Linked DNA regions of Pelodiscus sinensis. The protein of the gene in region 1 purifies or fractionates together with the protein of each later gene. This does not show direct contact. Links are inferred from orthologs where the notes say so. Each region holds a gene or a part of one and is shown in the gene's direction. Other genes may lie near its edges.

Region 1 (10,707 bases):
CCTATTTCCTCCAGATTACGGTGGGGGTTTTCACAAACATTATTTCCATGCTCATTTATGCTACAATGGGTTATGATTTACACCTACATTCATAAAAATGTTTGTTCAAGTTATGTTTACTATTTGTGATCGTACCTGCAAGCTTCCAAACATGTATGCATGCATTCAGATGTCTAATTATTTTCTATGAATTTCCTCTTAAAGTATTTCAGTGTTCTTGCAGTAAATGCAATGACCTATCAGTAACAAATCAAATAAGACAGCACTCCAGCATCCAAGGGGAAAAATTGCACAGGAATCTGATTGGAATTTTAAAACTAATACTTGAAAAAAAAAATGGTTTTCATAAAATCCTTGAGAACTCTCCTAATAAATTATTAATGGAGTTTTAAAATGTCAGTAAGCTGGTTTCAGAGACTCAAGAGGAAGGAAAGAACTGTTTTCAAAGTCTTGTTAAGACAACAAAAAGCAGACTAAAGCTTTGTCTTCTGTTTGATAGATTTCACATGCATTTTGATTTTCATAATAAAAATAAAACACTTTATGAACCTTGACGTATTTTACACACCTCTACACTGGCTGGACTTAATTCATCTCTAGTATAACTATTATTACACCAGGGATAAATCTGGGTAATACAAAATAATAATCTTAATACATTTTGAAAATATGCTTCCTGCTCCTAACAAGGAACACAGAGTACACTGATGAAGCATACAACTCAAACCAAGAGATGGATTCTGCTTCATTAATGAATCAGTTACTGAAATATGACTATCCATCCCTAATTAAAGAAGCTTAAACAGTGAACACATGTAACTGAATACAAGCCAAGTCACATCTCTCTGCTGTTAACACTAGTTTTCTACTATGCAGCAGCCAATTGGAAGTGGGGGAGTTGGGTTCACATCTCCTATTTGTCAGAATCTTTCACTGTCCTCTAGTAACCTTCATTAATTTGAAAAACAGCAAATGCAAGGGTGGTGTGTGTGTGTGTGTGTTTTTTTAAGTATTTCACCCAAACTGTTTTCCAAGCCAAAGTAAAGGGATTTCTCTTAGATACAAACAATTCAAAATCTAGGCAAAGAGTCACTTATCAAAGTAGGTCATCAAAGTAGGCCTTGCTAAGGACATTAAAAGCTTTCGTTTTAGGGCAAACAAAAGTATCTTTTCCCACTGAATGGCTTTTGTTCTAGTTGAAATGTGCCCAACAGTCCTGGAATACGGAAGCTCTCTATCCATAAAGCAGGTACAGATTGAAGGGGCACAAGAAGGAAGTTCAGTTTCTATACCCACCAACTCTTTGCTGAAGCTGCCTATACATGATGTGGTAATTGTTCTTTTGACAAAGACATTTTTCTTTTAGAAACAGGATCACTCTAACAGTTTGAAATTCCAACTATGACATTTAGTCAAGGCACGGCACGGCACAGAATGGCCAAAGTTCAAGTCACAGGCCAAATGTATGAAACCACATAATATAGCCTCCCATCTTTAACACTGGGAATACAGTGTAAGTTAATAGTGTATGTACATGCCAGGAAGTATCACACTGCAGCACCTTAATATATTAAACATGAGCAACTGCAATTGGTTCAATTTTGGTCAGCTTCATATAAAAGAAAAGTTTTGTACCATCTTTGCTCAAACTGGTAAAAAGGGTTTGCACCGATTTAAATTAATCTAAACTATTTGATCCGATTCTAGTTAAACCCGTGCAATCTTTGTTTTGAGAGAAGACTTTTGTTATAGAAAAATGACCAGGGGTCTAGAAGCTAAAATTTCCTTACTGCACAATCATGATATACCCAACAACGCATTCTAGATTGATGAAAATTCAAGAACATGTATTGCATTAAAGAAAAACAGTAGAAAGGGCAGTCCAGGGAAGACTTTACATTTCATCAGATAGCTTGTGAAATCTATTTACATAGCAGATTCTAAAATGGAAGATTCACCTATATGGTTCTGTAATCATTCACTTTTAAATATTATCTACCTTGATAGCAAATGGAAAATACTGAAGAAAATGAAAGTGCATGTTTTCATGCTTGTTAAAGAGAGAGAATTGTTAACTGAACTAATTTTGAATGGCTGGTCACCTTCTTTCCTCAAACACAGCACTTCTAAAAATTCCTGTTCCCATGTTTGTACACAGAATTTGTGACATAAATTGTAGATAAACAGGTCTCTTCTTAAGGCCATCAAGGCACATAATTGATTCACTTATCTTTTTGAATTCTCCTGTCTCAAGACCTTTCTTCTCATTTCTCCCCTCTCCTCATAAAAGGACACTAAACAGGACAATTGCTGCCAATCAATTGCAGACACTTGCTGGCTCTAATCTAAAAGATTGGAGTGAGGCAAGGTAATACAGAGATCCACATGATTCATGTAAAAAGTTCCAGTGGCGTACACCATTCATGAATATACATGACGTGTTCACTTCTTTGTTTTGCCAGCTGGGAAAATAGTTTTACTTTGAATTGCATAAATGACTAAATCTACAAAGAGAATAATTGAACAGTATTTGTTACCTTCTGCCCCTCCAGGCACTAACAATAGTTTTTCAAGAGGGAAAAAAAAAGACGGTAAAGGTAGTGTTTTAAAATGTCACTGGTTTCTTTTATTTTAGAGCTGCTTTACCTACAGAGCATTAGTTTCAAAAGGTGCACACAGGGAAAGCCAAAGGTTGAGCAGAAGTTGCTCATTTCATAGATAAGAAAATGAAGACAAGCAGCAGTTTTGTTTTCAAATGGATTATACTTGAAGATAGGAGATATCTCCTCTCTCTTTTCCCTTTTCTTAGTTCCATTGATCTGAATAAGATTATGGTTAAGAATTTCAGACCTGTCTCAGCATCATCTCTTTTTTATGAGTTAGAACCAGCCAATGCAACTACTCCATATGTTACTACTATTTGTAAAATGGCAGAAACAACACTGTATATTTACATGTTGTAAATGTCTAGAAACCCCATTGCAATTAATGAGGTCACAAGTGGGTTTTGTTTTTTTTTTAAAGGAAAGGAAATTGATTCCCAGTTTAGATTCTTGCTTCCTAAACTTCTTATCCCCAGTTCACCCCAGAGTCTACACCACCCAGGCAAAGCCTCGACCCCCCCAACACTCCAATTCCTTGCCTAAGTCCTGATACCTCTCCCACCTCCAGAACCACTCCATCCCATCCGAGTACCCTTCTGCACCCCAAACTCCTCCTGTGCACCCCAGTTCCCTGTCTCAGCTGACAGCCCCTTTCCATCCTTTGAACCCCTCAGTCCCAGCCCAGAGCACCCCTGTGCACCCTAAACTCCTTTTTTCTGGCCCCAGCCTCAGCCAGATTCATCATCCTGTCCTACACCCAAATCCTAATTTTGTGAGCATTCATGGCTCTCCACAGAATTTCCATTACAAAATCAGGCCAAAAAGTTCCTGCACTCCTGGTTTACAGGATGTTCCTATAAATAAAGTAAACTTGCTAATTTGTGTTTAAGCAATAATACTGCTCATTATCATTTTCCCAATACTTCTCCCCATAATACACCTGTTAGTTAGCTCAAATACCAACTTAAAAATGATAGAAGTAGAAACAAGCTATTAAAGAAAGAAACTAGTTACTGTCAGTTTGATGCTAAATACCAGTGCCACCACAGCAACCCCACAGTGGTATATTTTTAAGTGACAAGCCAATGTCCAACATTCCTGGCCTCAAAGTTTTTTTTAAATTCATTGGGGTTTCTTCAGAAATTATTATTACTGATAATTAAGACTTCAAAGTACATGTCAAGATCAGAAAAGCAACAAGATATTAGAGGATCCTTATACTATTGTATAGTGATCCATTACAAACATCCCAGCACTCTTAGCAAGTTGCGTCGTGCATCCAGGAGCTGGCCCTGGCTGGGGGCAGTTGGCTTAGAAAGATAGTTCCTCCCAGTACCATATCCACTGTGTGGCCCGCCCCCTCCGCTACACTGCTACCTAAAGTAACAGCCCCTGTCCATAGGAGATCCAGCTCCACACTGGGACCCCCAGCAGACAGGGGCTGCTGGACCTGGTGCAAACCCAGCTCAATCCTGGCTTGCATTGGGTCCAGGAGCTCTCCCCCCGACCCCACCACTGTGGTTCTGCAGTTTAAAAATAGTGAAGAGACAGGCAGTTTGGCTCCTACTACATTTAAACTGCAGAGCCACAGCAGGGGTAGCTCCTGGACCTGGTGCGAGCTGGAACTGACATGATTAGTGAAATACCCGCTTCTGAATATCCCTATTCCAAAGAGGACCTTGTGATGCTCTCGGAAAGCAGCTAATATCCAGGTGAATCTGAACTCCTCCAACAGCTCATCCCACTGACGAATTCTCCTTAAGGGCAGATACTTTCTCTGAAGCCCTTTCTGAGCTGCCTCGTCCTAGAGAAGTGCAAAGCATCATGAATTTTACCATTCAGAAGCGAGGATTTAGGAACCCCACATCTGCCCGCCCCATAAACCCGAGGTGGTGGGTGGGGAAGCCCTGGTCCACTGGGGCTGCCACCGTGCCTGTGTCCCAGGGCTGGCGCGGGGTCTGGCAGGGCTGCTCGTGCCGGGAAGGAAGCAGGTGCCGGGGAGCAGAGAGGGGGCAACCGGCCCAAGGTCACGGCGAGCCCCGGCCCGGCCCGGACCCACCCTCTCTGGGACAGGAGCTCGGGGACAGGGGGAGCCCAGCGCCTCAGACCCAGGACCTGCCACCCCGCAGCCAGCCCCGGGCAGAGAGCGGTGCGCGCCCGGCCGGCAGCCCCGAGCGCTTGTCACCCCCCGGCCCAGGCGCCGGGGCCGCAGCCGCTACCTGCCGGGTGGTTGTACAGGGGCCGCAGCCGCGGCGGCAGCTTGAGCTCGATCCGGTCCAGCAGGCGGTGGTAGGAGGCGCGGAACCCCGCGGCGGCGGCGGCCATCTCGGAGGGGAGAGCGCGGCCGGGCTGGGTCCCAGTGACAGCAGCTGCTCCGGCGTCCCCGGCGCGACCGGCCGTCCTTCGGCCTCCCCTAGCGCGCGCCACCCTTCGCGGGGGGAGGATCCCGCTTTACTTCGCGCCCATTGGCCCGCTGGCAGGCGAGGGGGCGTGGCCGAGCAGCTCGGCGAACGCTATTGGTTATTACGCCCCCCCATCCCCAGCGCCCCGCCCTGCGTGGAGAGAGCGGACGCTACGTCTTATTTGAGAAAGAAAATTCTTTCCGGCCATGACAGATAAGGGCGGGAACAGCCTTCACCCCCCCCACCGCCGTCCGTTCTGGCCGCCGTCTCTGCCCAAACTAAACATGGCTGCCTTAGCGCGTCGGAGCCCGGTCCAAGATGGCAGACGCGGATGAAAGGCAAAGGAAGGGCAGGCGCTTTCCGGTGCCCCAATCCAAGATGGCGGCTGCAAGCCTTCACCGCCCGAACCCACCAAAAGTGACGTTCCCGCGATAGGTGTAAGTCTCGAGCGCTGCGAACGGGGTCGGGGAGGAGTCAGGGGGCGGGGTGAGATGGGGGGGGGAGGGGAGTGGAGCGGCCGCTCGTTCTTCGGCAGCAGGCGGGTGCGCGCGAGCGAGCGGGTCTCCATGGTGAGCGCGGGGGGCGGCTGGCGCCGGCGCCGAGTCTGAGCCCGAGCCCCCCCCCCCCCTAGCGACTCCCCGTCCGCGTTGCCATGTCCCGGGGGTGCTGCCCGCACCTGCTGTGGGACGTGCGGAAGCGGAGCCTGGGGCTGGAGGAGCCCGGTCTGCTGCGGAGACACTACCTTGGTGAGCGGGGGGAGGGGCGCGTTGCCGTTCGCTCGGAGGGGGGGGGGTTTCGCGCGGCACAGGCGAAAGTGACAGCTGCGCCCCCCCTCGGAGCGCTGCCCGACAGCCGCGGGGGGGGGGGGGGGGTTGTGTGTCCGCCGCGCCCCCCATGGGACGGCTTGGGTCAGTCCCTGCCCCGCCGGCCAGCGCCGCGCCCCGGCCCCGCAAAGTTTCTTCCCCGGTGGGTCACCGGGGCCTGGAGGGTTTTCCGAGGCGGGGAGCGAGGAGGCTGGAGCAGCTGGCCCGGGGCGGGTGCTGCTGAGAGCTGTCAGCCCGCTGTGCGATGGAAACCACTTCAAGCCGGGGCTGGCTTCTAGCACCGATGGTAGGAAGCGTCAGTGAGTGGAAACGTAACGGCCTCTGCCCGTCCCGCCTGCTTAGCTCTGCCTTTCATTTCCCGAGCCACGGGCGTCTCAGCCCAGGGACAAAACGCGTTGCGTGCTCACTCGGCGCCCCGGGGCTGCGAGGTGGCTCAGGGATCGGACTTAGGAGACACTCCTGTGATTGTTATCGCAGGGCAGGCTGTGTCTCTTCCCGTTGCTTGAGCTGGCAGTGCTCCATAGAGCACTTTTGAAACTGTCATCTTAAAATACCGGTTTATTTAACATTCTTTTACTTGTGTTAAAAATAGCTCAGGATCCGTAACTAGCTGTTTTTAAAATGCCACTTAATGCTTACCCATTAATGCTGTGCGTTTGCTGTTTGTATTTTATTCATCTTGGATACTAAGATGGATTGGTTTCACTTTCTAGCACTTCTACATTACCCAAATACTACTACTGTTTAAAGTTTCCAACACTGATGTTTTACTCCAAAAGGACTGTTGACATTTTACGGTGGGAGTAAAGCCTTTATTTGTGTTAAGTTTTGTAATTTTTCCCTATGGATCTTTGAAATGGGACAGGTATTCTCTGTGTAGTACAGGGGTGGGCAATAATTTTTGATGAGGGGCCATTCCAAGATTTTGGAAAGTGGTTGAGGGTTGCACTCTTCCATGATATTAATGGAGGAGGTGCAGAGTCTGGGGTGGAGGTTGGGTGCAGAAGGGAGTTTGGGGAAAGGGACTGAGGTGCAGGAGGGAGAGTGGAGTCAGAGAGGGAGTTTGGGTAAAGGAGGCAGTTGTGACCTAAGGCAGGGGATTGTGATACAGGGGTTTGGTTTGTGACCTAGGGTAGGAGGATTAAGGGGATTGGGGTGCAGGAGGGGGGCAGAGGGCTTGGATATGTTGAATGGAGGGGCAGAGTGTCAGAGGCAGGCTCTGTCCAGGAGACTTACCAGCTAGCAGCCCAGCCAGCCTGCTGAGCTAAATGCATGCAGAACTTAAAACATTTCTCAGCCAATTAGCTAGCATGCCTGCCTGCCTACCATGTGTCTGCACAGCCTGCAGAGCCATGTGCTTGTGTGAATAACTAAGCTGGAGGGGAGAGGGTCATGGGGCTTCGTGTGCTGCCTGTTGTTCAATCAGGCAGCTCCCATTGTCCAGGTTCTGGTCAGAAACTGGACAATGGGTTTGTTCCGGGTGCAGGGTGGCAGCACCTGAAGCCTTGTGCCTCTCCTCTTCCAGATCAGTTTTGAAAGAGAAATGGCCCTGCAGTCACTTTTCTGAGTGGCATGCGGTACTGTAGGCAAGCAGAGGATCCTGCCTGTGGGTCCCCGCTGCATCCAGAGGGCTGACCTGGTGGCTTGATGGGCCGCATCTGGCCAGTGGGCTGTATTTTGCCCAGGCCTGGTGTATTGCCTCATGCTGTACGCCTCCAATCTCTTTTAGGGCCTCTAGGTTCTACTAGAATAGTAATATAGTATTTATTTAAACTGGGTGCAGTAAGGTCACTGGAGTGAAATTTTACCTATACACCTGTGACTTTTTAAACCAAAGAATCAATGCTAAAAGTATGATTTCTTTTTGTGAAGATTTTTTGTATTCCTCCTGCTTCCATATGTGATCTGCTTTGGCTTTCAGTTGATTTTTCAGTGAAATTTAAGGTGGTGTTTGAGCTAGTTCGTCCTTAATATTTTTGACTTTCTCCACTTGTCACACCTTGACAACTATAATCAGCGGGAACAAAAAACAGGACTATGTAGCACTTTAAAGATGACCTTTCGTGGGCCAGACCCATTTCCTCATATCAAATAGTGGAAGAAAATTGTCACAGCCATACATATATACCAAAGGATACAGTTTAAAAAATGAACACACATATGTCTGGCCCACGAAAGCTCATAATCTAATAAACCATCTTGTTAGTCTTTAAAGAGCTACATAGTCCTGTTTTTGGTTTCAGCTACACCAGAGTAACATGGCTATATTTCTATCATAATCAGCTGGGATACTCTACTGCAGTGGTCTCCAATCTTTAAGCACAAGATCACTTTTTCAATTTGTCAGTCCAGGATCTACCTCAGACCCAAATACCTCTGTCCCACCCCTTTGCCGAGGCCCCACCCTCCTCACTCTGTGAAGATGGGATACAGGGGAGGGAGACAGTGACATCAGTGCCTTCCTGCCTGTTTCCCCCACTCTGCACAACAAGCAAGAGGCTCCCAGAGGACTGCTCTGAGGCTCTGTGCAGGAGCAGCAGGGCAGTGATGGGAAGGGCAGCTGATGTGCAGGGACTTGATAGCCTCCCAGCCAAACCAGTCAGGATCACCTGTCAGAGACTCCAAAGATCTACTAGTAGATCCCGATCTACAGGTTGGTGATCACTGCTCTAGTGGATAGATGTAGTAACAGAACTTGAATGCTCAGATGATTTGATGGTTGTAAAGGTCTAGATTAACAACAGTGCCCCAGTTTGAAGAGAGAATGGGGGCAATTTGGTGGAAAGATTAAAGACTAACAGTTTCTAATTAAATAAGAGATTGATAAGTTTATGGTAACAGTCCATATTTCAGTGAGATGCCAAGCCTGTGTAATTTTGCTAGCAGGCTTCTGGTTCTAAGTTATTCAGTCCATACTGCAGAGTGAATATAAACTGCTCCGAAGAAGTACAAACCTTAACTGGCATTCAGAACTATTGTGGACCAGGACATATTTGAATTGTATCCAGAATGTTACTTTAATACAATTTATTTTTTAACTCCTTTAAGTCATTGATGTACTTGCTTGGTCTTGTACCAAAAAATATATTCTTGTTTAATAATATGGTAATTTTTATGTTGCAGTCACCGTTTGGTCTCTGCTGAAACTGATCTTAATTGAAAGGATATATCTGCTATTTACAGCGGTATACATTCAGTCAGGTACATATAGGTCTCCTCTATGGTCATATGTAGGCACTCGCTCAACAGGACACTGGAATGAGACCACAAATTCATTTCATGCAGGTTATGGCCAGACAGTTAGCAGATGGCAAAATGATTATTGGTCCATAGTGATGCAGACTGAATTAGAGGTAAAAGTCTCTGTAATCTTCTAAGGATTAGAAGATCACCCTGGTCACCTAGTCTACCATTCTGATAGAACTCAGATAGAGCTTGTACACTTTTTTTGGTTTTGTTTTGCTGCTGCTGTTGTTGCTTTTAAATGCCATACACTTTGACTTGTTGTCTGTATAGTAATATCATTTTGAGGCATCAGGCATAAATGTAGGGTGGATTTTTTTTTAATCCGTTGAAACCGTTTTGGGTAAACAGTCCAAACAGAAAGAGTTCATCCAGTTCCCTCCATCCTCTTCCAGGAGCCCATTGTTAATATATTACCCAATCTGTTGGTGATAACGTGGTGTGAGGAAGATATGTGTGTGTATAATATGTATATAGTGTGGTGGGTCTTTTATTTATGTGATAATTAGGGATGTCAGTGTGCAGATGACTTTACAATTAACCAATAAGCCTGGTTTTACCTGTTAATCCTGCCAACTACATACAATTCTACCCCCGCTTGCTGCCTCTGTGTCAGAGGCAGCAGTGGGGAGGGACCCAGGGGAAACTACTACAAAGCAATCTTTGTCTGGTGGGCCTCAGCTCGCTGTGGACAGGAGCTGCTCTGTGGCAGCAGCCCTTGTCGGCGGGGGGCCGAGCTCCCAATGGACAGATCTGTCCCTGGAAGTGGGGCCGGAAGCACGCTGGCTGCTGGCCCCCCCCCTCCAGGGACTATTGAATAGTCATGTAATCGATAAAATTTGATGCAGTTACATGACTATTCAATTACACACTGCCTAACATTCCTAATATTAACACTAGAAAATTTACCTGGCATTTCTTTGGTCCTTAATACAATTCATTTCAATTTTTTTGGAAAATAAAATGAAAATATATATGTTTTATTAAAATCATTGCTCTAGAGGTGAGGGGTTCAATATGCAGGCTGTCCCCAGAGAGAGAGAGAGAGGACACCCAGCCCTCTATCAGGGCAGCAGCTTGGAGCGAAGTTAGAAGCACCTCTCCATGGCCACTGCAGCTCCACTGAACACAGCTGGGGGAGAGAGGCATATCCCATGGCTGGGTCGGGTCCAGGTTCATCTGTCTCCTGCTCTTTCAAGCCAGAGTGAGGAATGCAGCAAATTGTGCACTTTCCCTGCTCCATGATGGGGAACAGCCAGCAATGTTCCTGTATGACTTGGGGGTGGGGGAGCTTCAGTGCCCCCCCCTCTGGTGGGCGCTTTGGTGGAAGTAGATGGACTGTCTTGGATGGAGGGGGAGGGCAGCCCCTTTCACCTGCCTAGTAATTGTCTCTCTTCTCTAGGATTTTTATGAGGTGCAATCCCATTCAAAGCACATCCTAGTTTCCTGGTATATCCAAACTCTTACTTTGCTTTAAATTATGATAAGAGAAAGCTGTGTATTCACTTTGGTGGTCCTAAGTCTCATCATGTAGGAGGAGTTCATGAGCAGACAAATTCTCTCAAATATATACTAGATTTCCCTTTAATTTACATTCTAGTGAAATATCGGAGTGTGGTACAGTCTATAATCCTT
Region 2 (11,681 bases), on another chromosome or scaffold:
CTCCCGGGAGGGGTTGGCCCCGAGACGGGGCCATTGCGGGCCCTTTGACAAGCACGTTTCCACGAGTGCAGCAGAGACCAGCGCCAAGTATCGCCAAGCGCCTGCCCTGCTCCCCTCCCCCACCCCTGCCGCTACGCCTGCCTGGGCCGTACAGACCCACTGCCCCGCCAAGGCCCGCCTCCCCCGGCCCCACGCACAGCCCAGTGCTGGGGGTCAGTCCAAGGCCTCCTTGATCAACAATTCCTTCAGGGTGGGCGGCTGCTGCGGAAGCAGCCCGGGCCCGTGCAGCCCCTGCAGCCTGGCCTCCGACTGGCGCTTGTCTCTCCCCACCTTCCAGGACAGGTGGACGTGGGCCTGCAGGAAGGGCTCCAGCAAGGGGTGACTGTCCTGGGCCTCCAGGAGCTGCAGAGCCTGCTCGCAGTAGCCGTGAGCCTCACTCAGCTCCTCCAGCTCCTGGTGGCACACGGCCAGGCCAGCCAGCGTGAGCAGGAAGCGGCCGGAGCGCCCGGCGCCCAGCTTGTCCTGGAGCCGGCAGGCGTTGCTCCAGGCGGCCAGGGCCTCGCGGTACATGCCGGTGCAGGTGAGGCGCTGCGCTGCCTGCAGCTCGCGCAGGAAGAAGAACTCCTGGAAGGCGGCGGAGCGGCGGATCTCGGCGATGGAGTGCAGGTGGGACAGGAACTGCTCGAAGGCCCGGCTCCGCTTGGCGATGGTTTCGGCCGTGAAGTTCCTGCGCAGCCGCTTCCTGGGGAAGGCGACGCCTGCCATGTCGCAGGCAAAGTGGCGGCGCAGGCGCCGGTTCAGCCGCTCCAAGTCCGAGTAGCGGCGGGCAATGGCGGCAGGGGCCTTGTCAAACTGGCCGGAGCGGATCAGGTAGATGGTGTAGAGCTGGGGGGAGAGCAGGGCGTGAGGGCGCCGCACCACTGCGCACGCCTCGCCTCTCGCCGGGTGCCCACGCTGGGCCAAGGGGACAGGCTCCCTCGGGGCAGGGCTGGGGCACAGCAAGCACCTGGCAGCAAGTTACCTGAGGCTCGTCTGAGCCGCCGGCGCCATCCGCAGCACAGGAGAGAGAGAAAAGCGTCAGCTCAGGGCCCCAACCCAACACGGCCCACGGGGGGCTTGGCAGCCAGCCCCTCACTCACCACGTATTTGGAGGAGCGCTCGCTGACCACGCTGGCGCTGGTGACCTCGAAGAGCAGCCGCTGGGGAGCCAGGGTGCCACGCGACCTCCTCCACAAGTCCTGGAGCTGGCGGGTCAGCAGGTGGCTGCCCGGGCGCTCAGCCGGAGAGGGGCTCGGAGCTGCACCGGAGACAAGCCCGGCCGTCACCCGCCAGGCCGTGCCAGGGAGGGGGAACAGGCCAGGCCCCCGCCCCTTGTTCCAGCCCTGTCACCCGTGGGACCTGGGGGCTCCCCCCCCCCCATCTCCCGGCCCCACTGGGTCCTTGGGCCTCTTGCATGGGGCTGTCTAGAGCATCGCCCCGCGCCTGCCGGCTCACCCAGCCCCCCCAGCTCCTGGGCGGCCGCCTCCTCCTCCTCCTGCTCCTGCTCCGCCTCCTCCTCCGGGCCGCTGCTGAAGCTGAGGGTGCCGCTGAGTCGCGTGGAGAGCCCCTCGGTGTCGTCCTCCAGCTCGGAGCTCTCCGGGAACTCCTCCGCCTCCGCGCCGGGCCGGCCGGGCGCCGCCCCCGCCAGGGCGTCCCGCAGGCGGTGCAGCAGGCGGGCGGCCATGGGCGCTGCGGAGGGAGCGAGAAGCGGGGCTGAGCGAGCGGGCGGTGCCTGGGAGACGGCGCTTGCCCCGGGGGCGGGGGAGGACAGAGCGGGGGGGGGGCACTAAGGCACCTGCCGGGGGGGGGGGGGGGTTGCTGCAAACTTGCCGGGCAAGGCGGCCACAGCTGGGACCCCCCTCCGGGCGGGGGGAGGGGCAGCTGGGGGCCGGGCCCCCCCGCGTTGCTCACCGAGGCCGGAGCCGCGATCCAGGCTGCGATGGCCGCTCAGTCGCGGCTCCTCCTTGGATCCTCCCTGCCGCGGCTCCGCCTCCGCCCGGGAACCCGGATCCTGCCCGGCCGGGGGCTCGCCGAGCCACAGCGGCATTCCCGGCGCGCAGGGCGCCTTATCTAGAGCCGCCGCCCAATCCGGAGTCACTCCTGAGCCACAGGGCGGCACCCACCCCTCTCCCACTCTGGAGTAGCCGGGCCTGCTCCTGCCTCCCCCGACTAATCTGGACTCAATCCGGATCGACTCCCAGTTGTGTGGCTGCCCAATCAGGAGTCTGCTTTGGTCCAGTAGGGTTCAGGATCTGGCTCCAGCAGCCCCAGGGGCGATTTGCCCGCCCCTACCCCCGATCAGACAGAGCAGGGGGCTGGTTGTGTGAGGTACACTGGTGTCCTGGGGCCGGGCTCGCCTCTCGCGCCGGTTCTGGGGCCCCCAGGCCCTCGTGGCCTGTCCGGAGCGGCTGGCTCCCTGGGGCTCGGCGTCTCTCCAGACTGGGACGCAGGCCCCGCCTGGGCTCCCTGCCCAGCTCTGCCCCCAGCTGCTTCCCAGCCTTATTTAGAGAGATGCGCCCACTCCCTCCTTGCAGCGTCTTAGGCATGTCTATTAATACCGGCCCCAGCCCAGCTGCGCCCGTCAGTCGGAGCCGGCCCCCCGCCCCCCGGCTCTGCTCCCTCGCCCCGGGCCGGGTGGGAGGCTCTGCCCCGAGACACCACCTGCCCCACACCCCAGAAGCACTGCTGGCTTGATGGGGCAGCAGACCCACCTTGCCCGCCCATAAAGAGACCAGGCCTCCGCAGGGTGGCAGCGCCTGGCATGGCGGGGGGGGGGGGCTTCCAATCCCAGCCCGAGAAACGCCCTGTCCCACGCCTGGCATGGCGGGGGGGGGGGGGGCTTCCAATCCCAGCCCGAGAAACGCCCTGTCCCACGCCTGGCATGGCGGGGGGGGGCCTCCAATCCCAGCCCAAGAAACGCCCCGTCCCACGCCTGGCATGGCGGGGGGGCCTCCAATCCCAGCCCGAGAAACGCCCTGTCCCACGCCTGGCATGGCGGGGGGGCCTCCAATCCCAGCCCGAGAAACGCCCTGTCCCACGCCTGGCATGGCGGGGGGGCCTCCAATCCCAGCCCGAGAAACGCCCTGTCCCACGCCTGGCATGGCGGGGGGGCCTCCAATCCCAGCCCGAGAAACGCCCTGTCCCACGCCTGGCATGGCGGGGGGGGGCCTCCAATCCCAGCCCGAGAAACGCCCTGTCCCACGCCTGGCATGGCGGGGGGGGCCTCCAATCCCAGCCCGAGAAACGCCCTGTCCCACGCCTGGCATGGCGGGGGGGGGCCTCCAATCCCAGCCCGAGAAACGCCCTGTCCCACGCCTGGCATGGCGGGGGGGGGCCTCCAATCCCAGCCCGAGAAACGCCCCGTCCCACGCCTGGCATGGCGGGGGGGCCTCCAATCCCAGCCCAAGAAACGCCCCGTCCCACGCCTGGCATGGCGGGGGGGGGCCTCCAATCCCAGCCCGAGAAACGCCCTGTCCCACGCCTGGCATGGCGGGGGGGGGGCCTCCAATCCCAGCCCGAGAAACGCCCCGTCCCACGCCTGGCATGGCGGGGGGGCCTCCAATCCCAGCCCGAGAAACGCCCTGTCCCACGCCTGGCATGGCGGGGGGGGGGCCTCCAATCCCAGCCCGAGAAACGCCCTGTCCCACGCCTGGCATGGCGGGGGGGCCTCCAATCCCAGCCCGAGAAACGCCCTGTCCCACGCCTGGCATGGCGGGGGGGGGCCTCCAATCCCAGCCCGAGAAACGCCCCGTCCCACGCCTGGCATGGCGGGGGGGGGGCCTCCAATCCCAGCCCGAGAACGCCCCGTCCCACGCCTGGCATGGCGGGGGGGGGCCTCCAATCCCAGCCCGAGAAACGCCCCGTCCCACGCCTGGCATGGCGGGGGGGGGCCTCCAATCCCAGCCCGAGAAACGCCCCGTCCCACGCCTGGCATGGCGGGGGGGGGCCTCCAATCCCAGCCCGAGAAACGCCCCGTCCCACGCCTGGCATGGCGGGGGGGCCTCCAATCCCAGCCCGAAGAAACGCCCCGTCCACGCCTGGCATGGCGGGGGGGCCTCCAATCCCAGCCCGAGAAACGCCCCGTCCCACGCCTGGCATGGCGGGGGGGGGGCCTCCAATCCCAGCCCGAGAAACGCCCTGTCCCACGCCTGGCATGGCGGGGGGGGGGCCTCCAATCCCAGCCCGAGAAACGCCCCGTCCCACGGCCTTGCATGGCGGGGGGGGGCCTTCCAATCCCAGCCCGAGAAACGCCCCGGTCCCACGCCTGGCATGGCGGGGGGGCCTCCAATCCCAGCCCGAGAAACGCCCCGTCCACGCCTGGCATGGCGGGGGTGGGGGGGCCTCCAATCCCAGCCCGAGAAACGCCCCGTCCCACGCCTGGCATGGCGGGGGGGGGGCCTCCAATCCCAGCCTGAGAAACGCCCCGTCCCACGCCTGGCATGGCGGGGGGGGGGCCTCCATCCCAGCCCGAGAAACGCCCCGTCCCACGCCTGGCATGGCGGGGGTGGCCTCCAATCCCAGCCCGAGAAACGCCCCGTCCCACGCCTGGCATGGCGGGGGGGGGCCTCCAATCCCAGCCTGAGAAACGCCCCGTCCCACGCCTGGCATGGCGGGGGGGGCCTCCAATCCCAGCCCGAGAAACGCCCCGTCCCACGCCTGGCATGGCGGGGGGGGCCTCCAATCCCAGCCTGAGAAACCCCGTCCCACGCCTGGCATGGCGGGGGGGGGGGCCTCCAATCCCAGCCCGAGAAACGCCCCGTCCCACGCCTGGCATGGCGGGGGGGCCTCCAATCCCAGCCCGAGAAACGCCCCGTCCCACGCCTGGCATGGCGGGGGGGGGCCTCCAATCCCAGCCGAGAAACGCCCCGTCCCACGCCTGGCATGGCGGGGGGGGCCTCCAATCCCAGCCCGAGAAACGCCCCGTCCCACGCCTGGCATGGCGGGGGGGGGCCTCCAATCCCAGCCGAGAAACGCCCCGTCCCACGCCTGGCATGGCGGGGGGGGGCCTCCAATCCCAGCCCGAGAACGCCCCGTCCCACGCCTGGCATGGCGGGGGGGGCCTCCAATCCCAGCCCGAGAACGCCCCGTCCCACGCCTGGCATGGCGGGGGGGCCTCCAATCCCAGCCCGAGAAACGCCACGGTCCCACGCCTGGCAGGGATCAAAGCCGGTTTCCGGGCAGGACGCAGGTTGATTTACACGGATGCAGCAGGAAATCGGGAGCCCTGTGCCCTCCCCAGGGACTCGGCGTGTGCTGGGGGGGCCAGGGGAAGGAGCACCCTGTGCCCAGAGCAACACGCTTGTTGGTGCCCAAAGCATCACCCCAATGGGCACGGTCCTGAGCAGCCAGCACGGCCCCCTTGTGCCACGTCTCCTCCGTGGCTGTAGGCATGGCCAGCGCGGGCAGCCAGTCCCATAGGCCCCAGGGTGGGAGGGACTGTCCCTTGGCTGTCGCCGGGTCCACACGTGCTTTCCTGGGCCCCAGACGGGTGGGAACCAGATCCCCATGTAAACAAGAGAGCGGGGGCGGGGCGAGCGCCGGGGGCGCAGGGCAGCCTGACTCCATGCAGGGCGAGGCTCCCGGCTCCCTCCGGCCCTGCTCCCGCGCCCGTGCTGTGCCCCCCAGGCAGGCCAGGGTTGGCCATGCAGGTCCCCGGTGACCGAGGCGATCCGGGCCAGACACAAGCCTAACCCCCGCAGTCCCATGGCCACCACCTCCGCTCCTTGGCCAGAGCCCTGGGCACCTGATGCTGCGACGGTCTCCCTGGGCTGGGCAGAGCCTTGCAGCAGGGCTAGTGCCCAGCCGTACCCAGTGCGAGGCAGGCGTCGGGCCAGCCCCCTGGCGCCGAGCTGCTCCCCTCGCCTCTGCATTCCAGGCTTCCCAGAGCAGGCCCTCCGGCCCCCCCTTGCCCCCCAGGCGCTCCCGGCCTGGGCTTGCAGAGCAGGCTTGGCCGGCCTGCTCCTTGCCCTCCCGGCTGGAGGCGTCTTCACTTGCAGTGGGATGTTTGGAGGACACACCGGGCCATGGGGCGGGGCACAGGAGGCAGGGAAGGAGCCACGGGGCCGAGGGTGCGGTGGGACGGGGAAAGACAGAGCGACCCAGGGACAGCCGAGTCCCGGGCCAGAGGGTTGGAAGCAAGGCTCAAACCCCAGCGTCCCGCAGCTGGAGTCGGCAGGGCCCCCCGGCATCTGGGAAGAGGGGTAAAGGGACCAGCCCCACGTGGCACCCGGCTGGGAGGGGAGCCGGCCACAGGGCAGTGGCACTGGCTGGAGGAGGGCCGGGCCAGGGCAGAGCGTGAGAACGGCTGCTACCGCTGCTCACGGGTCCCTCAGCTGCCAGCACAAACTCGAGACGTTCTCGGCCGGGGAGGCGGGTGCTTGCCCCATCCAGCCTCCCGCCGCCGTCCGCCACCCCCGGGGCCTGCCCAGCCGGGGGCATGGACGTCCCTCCCCGCCATGCTGAAGGCAATAGGCCAGAGCCCCCAGCCGTGGGTTTTCCTTGCAGCTGGCCCTGGCCCCGGCCAGCAACTGGCTCTGGCCGGAGCCTCTTGCTGCGGCAGCCCCGGCAGGTGCTGGAGGGAGGCGCTGCGTCTCCTGCGCCCCGCGGGGTTGAATTTCCTGCCCTGCTCTTAATCCCCCTGGCTCGGCCAATAAAGTGTTTGCTAAATTAGGTAAAATGGCCCGGCCGCCAATCAGGGGCCAAGGGCCGACAGGAGGCAGCTGATAGGCTGCGGGAGAGCGGCGCCCGGCGAGGCCCAATGGCGCGGTGCTGGGGGGGCAGCGGGCGGGTCGAGGACGGTACAAATTGGGGGGCCAGGGGTGGAGGGGGAGCTCCTGGGGCTGGTGGTTGCGGGCGGCGGTGACTGGTCTGGGAGGTGCTGCGAGAGCCTGTCAGCATGGTGAGCCTGGGGGGGTGCTGGGCGGGAGGGGTGTGGGTGCGAGGAGGTGGCCAGCCCGGCGGGTGCAGCAGGGCGAAGGTTGGGGTCGTGAGGCGGGGCTGCCGGTGGGTGCTGGTGACAGGCTGAGCACAGAGCGGCTCCGGCTCCGGCTCCGGGTGCTGGCGGGGTGGAGGCACCGGGCTGGCGGAGGCCAAGGAGGCCAGGCCCCGGGGGCGGGAGTTGGGGCATTTAGAAAAATCGGCGATTTGCAGAACGTCCCATCATGCCCCTGCCCGGAACGATGCTGCCCCTGGGGTGGGCAATGGGGCAGGTGCAAAGGGGGCTGGGGGCTGCCCCCATCTCACTCGGCCGGCAGGGGAGTCCAAGGCAGCCCTGGGCCAGCATCCCCAGGCGTTTGGGAGTCATGTTCCCGGGGGGGGGGGGGGGGAGGCCATGGTGCTGGAGGGGGCAGGCAGTGCTGGTGCTGGGGGGGGCAGGCGGCCATGTTGCCCGGGAGGGGGCAGGAGCAGCGCTGGGCGCAGCAGGGCCGGACTCAGCAGGCTGCCGTAAGCTGAGCTCCGGGTCATAAGACACCGTCTGTGGCCCACAAGCCGCCAGCTGCCTGGGCCTGCCCTCAAGGAGTAATTCAATCCCAGCCCGGCAGGTGTGTGGGCTGGGCCTGGCCTCCTGCTGCCCCCCTACAAGGGCCGAGTCTGGGCTAAGAATAGCCCCCGCCCAGGCCCGGCAACGCCCCGCAGGCAGCCCGGCCCTGCGGCCCCCAGTCCCGAGGGCAGGGCTAGACGCAGCCGCACGAGGGCTCGGGGGGGGGGGACGGGCAGGGCCCCCAGTGCCGCATGCCCTACTGCTCTAGGGGAGCGCTGATGGGTGGCGTGAATCCGGTGAAACGCGCAGCCTGGCCCGTGCCCCGCCCCAGGCCACGGGACGCCTGTGGCCCACGCTGGGTGCTGGCCAGGGTGGCAGGTGCTCTGGGGAGGCCCCAGCGGCGTGGCCCTGCCCTCGGGTGCCCAGGTGGTGCTGGGGTGTCGCCGTGCTCGGCTCCGGGGGCTGCGCGACTCGGGCCCCGCCGCACTGCGCCCGCTGCAGAGCGGAGCCGGAGCCGGAGCTGGAGCCGGAGCCCAGACGCCGCAGGGCCGGGCCCCACTGAGCCGCTCTTCCGGTTGCCTTGCAGACGACGGACCAGCAGGCGGAGGCGCGGTCCTTCCTCTCCGAGGAGATGATCGCAGGTGAGTGAGACCCCGCCCCTCTGGGCTCGGGGGAGGGGGAATAAGAGCTACTGGGGGGCTCCCACAAGTTGCCCTGCTTGCCAAGGGGAGAGGGCAGCAGACGGGACCCTCTGGGCCCGCCCCAGGGGCCGATCCGGCAGGCGGGCCGAGGGGCAGGGGGCCGAGGCTGCTGAGAGGCCGGTGCCTGGGGCAAAGCCCCCGCTGACGCTCTGCCCGGCAGAGTTCAAGGCCGCCTTCGACATGTTTGACGCGGACGGCGGCGGGGACATCAGCACCAAGGAGCTGGGCACCGTGATGCGCATGCTGGGGCAGACGCCCACCAAGGAGGAGCTGGACGCCATCATCGAGGAAGTGGACGAGGATGGTGAGCGCAGCACGGTGGCACGCTGGGGGGGGGGGCTGGCGCACGGTGGCACGCTGAGGGGGGGGCTGGCGCACGGTGGCACGCTGAGGGGGGGGCTGGCGCACGGTGGCACACTGGGGGGGCTGGCGCACGGTGGCACGCTGAGGGGGGGGCTGGCGCACGGTGGCACACTGGGGGGGGCTGGCGCAACGGTGGCACGCTGCGGGGGGGCTGGCGCACGGTGGCACGCTGGGGAGGGCTGGCGCAACGGTGGCACGCTGAGGGGGGGGCTGGCGCACGGTGGCACACTGGGGAGGGCTGGCGCACGGTGGCACGCTGAGGGGGGGCTGGCGCACGGTGGCACACTGGGGGGGGGCTGGCGCACGGTGGGACGCTGAGGGGGGGGCTGGCGCACGGTGGCACGCTGAGGGGGGGCTGGCGCACGGTGGCACGCTGTGGGGGGGCTGGCGCACGGTGGCACGCTGGGGGGGGGCTGGCGCACGGTGGGACGCTGAGGGGGGGCTGGCGCACGGTGGCACGCTGAGGGGGGGCTGGCACACGGTGGGACGCTGAGGGGGGGGCTGGCGCACGGTGGCACGCTGCGGGGGGGGCTGGCGCACGGTGGCACGCTGTGGGGGGGCTGGCGCTACGGTGGCACGCTGAGGGGGGGCTGGCGCACGGTGGCACACTGGGGGGGGCTGGCGCACGGTGGGACGCTGAGGGGGGGCTGGCGCACGGTGGCACGCTGAGGGGGGGCTGGCGCACGGTGGCACGCTGTGGGGGGGCTGGCGCACGGTGGCACGCTGGGGGGGGGCTGGCGCACGGTGGGACGCTGAGGGGGGGCTGGCGCACGGTGGCACGCTGAGGGGGGGCTGGCGCACGGTGGCACGCTGCGGGGAGGGCTGGCGCACGGTGGCACGCCTGCGGGGGGGCTGGCGCACGGTGGCACGCTGCGGGGGGGCTGGCGCACGGTGGCACGCTGCGGGGAGGGCTGGCGCACGGTGGCACGCTGCGGGGGGGCTGGCGCACGGTGGCACGCTGCGGGGAGGGCTGGCGCACGGTGGCACGCTGCGGGGGGGCTGGCGCACGGTGGCACGCTGCGGGGGGCTGGCGCACGGTGGCACACTGGGGGGGCTGGCGCACGGTGGCACGCTGCGGGGGGGCTGGCGCACAGTGGCACGCTGCGGGGGGGCTGGGCGCACGGTGGCACGCTGCGGGGAGGGCTGGCGCACGGTGGCACGCTGTGGGGGGGCTGGCGCACGGTGGCACGCTGCGGGGAGGGCTGGCGCACGGTGGCACACTGGGGGGGCTGGCGCACGGTGGCACGCTGCGGGGGGGCTGGCGCACAGTGGCACGCTGCGGGGGGGCTGGCGCACGGTGGCACGCTGCGGGGAGGGCTGGCGCACGGTGGCACGCTGTGGGGGGGCTGGCGCACGGTGGCACGCTGCGGGAGGGCTGGCGCACGGTGGCACACTGGGGGGCTGGGGCACGGTGGCACGCTGCGGGGGGGCTGGGGCACGGTGGCACACTGGGGGGGCTGGCGCACGGTGGCACGCTGAGGGGGGACTGGCGCACGGTGGCACACTGGGGGGGGGACTGGCGCACGGTGGCACGCTGCGGGGGGGGCTGGCGCACGGTGGCACGCTGCGGGGGGGGCTGGCGCACGGTGGCACACTGGGGGGGCTGGCGCACGGTGGCACGCTGAGGGGGGACTGGCGCACGGTGGCACGGTGCGGGGGGGGGCTGGCGCACGGTGGCACGCTGCGGGGGGGGGCTGGCGCACGGTGGCACGCTGCGGGGGGGCTGGCGCACGGTGGCACGCTGCGGGGGGGCTGCCGCACGGTGGCACGCTGCGGGGGGGGCAGGCGCACGGTGGCACACTGGGGGGGGCTGGCGCACGGTGGCACGCTGCGGGGGGGGCTGCCGCACGGTGGCACGCTGTGGGAGGGGCTGGCGCACGGTGGCACGCTGCGGGGGGGGCTGGCGCACGGTGGCACGCTGCGGGGGGGCTGGCGCACGGTGGCACGCTGCGGAGGGGCTGGCGCACGGTGGCACGCTGCGGGGGGGCTGGCGCACGGTGGCACACTGGGGGGGGCTGGCGCATGGTGGCACACTGGGGGGGCTGGCGCATGGTGGCACGCTGCGGGGGGGCTGCCACACGGTGGCACGCTGCGGGGGGGGCTGGCGCACGGTGGCACGCTGCGGGGGGGGCTGGCGCACGGTGGCACGCTGCGGGGGGGCTGCCGCACGGTGGCACACTGGGGGGGACTGGCGCACGGTGGCACGCTGCGGGGGGGCTGGCGCACGGTGGCACACTGGGGGGGACTGGCATTGGCATCCTGGCCCTCAGGGCTGGCTGCTTCCCGCAGGCAGCGGCACCATCGACTTCGAGGAGTTCCTGGTGATGATGGTGCGGCAGATGAAGGAGGATGCGAAGGGCAAGTCGGAGGAGGAGCTGGCCGAGTGTTTCCGCATCTTCGACAAGTGAGTGGGTGCAGCCCGGGCCCCACCGCCCGCTCTGAGCATCTCCCCCAGCACGGGGTGGGGGGCGCGGATACCAGTTCGGGGGGTCACATCCCTGCCAACCTGCTCTGAGCCCCCCCAGACTGCAGGCCCGGTGCCCAGGCTGCCCCCCCCATGGGCACAGGCCTGTCACGAGGGCACTGCCTCCCTCAGCCCAGGTCGCGCTGCTGCAGGCCGGGCTCCTGCCAGGGCAAGGCCAGGGTGCCCCGCGGGCCCTGCTGCCCCGGCTCAGGCTGACGCCTCCCCAGGAACGCGGACGGGTACATCGACGCCGAGGAGCTGACCGAGATCTTCCGCGCCTCCGGGGAGCACGTGACCGAGGAGGAGATCGAGGAGCTCATGAAAGACGGGGACAAGAACAACGACGGACGCATCGACTTCGATGGTGAGCGCCAGGGCCGCTCCCCCCGTGCCAAGCTCTCGGAGCCCCCTTCCGAACCACTGGGCTGGGGCAGGGAGGCGCCACCCCCGGTCCAGCGGGGTCACGGCTGGGTGCCTGGGCCAGGGACCCTGCTAGCTCAGTGCGGGGAAAGGAGGGGTGTCTGTGAGCGGCATGGCCAGCACCCCCAACCCAGCCCCTGAGCGCTCAGCCCCCTCCCTGGCCCCCCAACCCAGCCCCTGAGCGCTCAGCCCCCTCCCTGGCCCCCCAACCCAG

What was found.
Region 2: the proteins of DCAF6 (region 1) and TNNC2 purify together in Homo sapiens (affinity purification with mass spectrometry; 3 studies listed by BioGRID and IntAct, with this or other methods). This does not show direct contact. The link is inferred for Pelodiscus sinensis from reciprocal best matches to the Homo sapiens genes DCAF6 and TNNC2.

Annotation. Positions count from the first base shown.
Region 1 is NC_134711.1:161,385,451-161,396,157, reverse strand, and holds the start of DCAF6 (DDB1- and CUL4-associated factor 6), read left to right. Parts: upstream 1-5,499; 5' UTR 5,500-5,657; coding exon 5,658-5,751; intron 5,752-5,971; exon of another isoform or gene 5,972-6,115; intron 6,116-10,707. Other genes in the region: MPC2 (mitochondrial pyruvate carrier 2), read right to left, coding at 4,823-4,928. UniProt on the Homo sapiens protein: Ligand-dependent coactivator of nuclear receptors. Enhance transcriptional activity of the nuclear receptors NR3C1 and AR. May function as a substrate receptor for CUL4-DDB1 E3 ubiquitin-protein ligase complex.
Region 2 is NW_027465936.1:209,974-221,654, forward strand, and holds TNNC2 (troponin C, skeletal muscle), read left to right. Parts: upstream 1-6,825; 5' UTR 6,826-6,934; coding exon 6,935-6,937; intron 6,938-8,105; coding exon 8,106-8,160; intron 8,161-8,380; coding exon 8,381-8,524; intron 8,525-10,872; coding exon 10,873-10,987; intron 10,988-11,274; coding exon 11,275-11,608; 3' UTR 11,609-11,623; downstream 11,624-11,681. Other genes in the region: SNX21 (sorting nexin-21), read right to left, coding at 214-885, 1,140-1,297, 1,495-1,728, 1,951-2,086. UniProt on the Homo sapiens protein: Troponin is the central regulatory protein of striated muscle contraction. Tn consists of three components: Tn-I which is the inhibitor of actomyosin ATPase, Tn-T which contains the binding site for tropomyosin and Tn-C.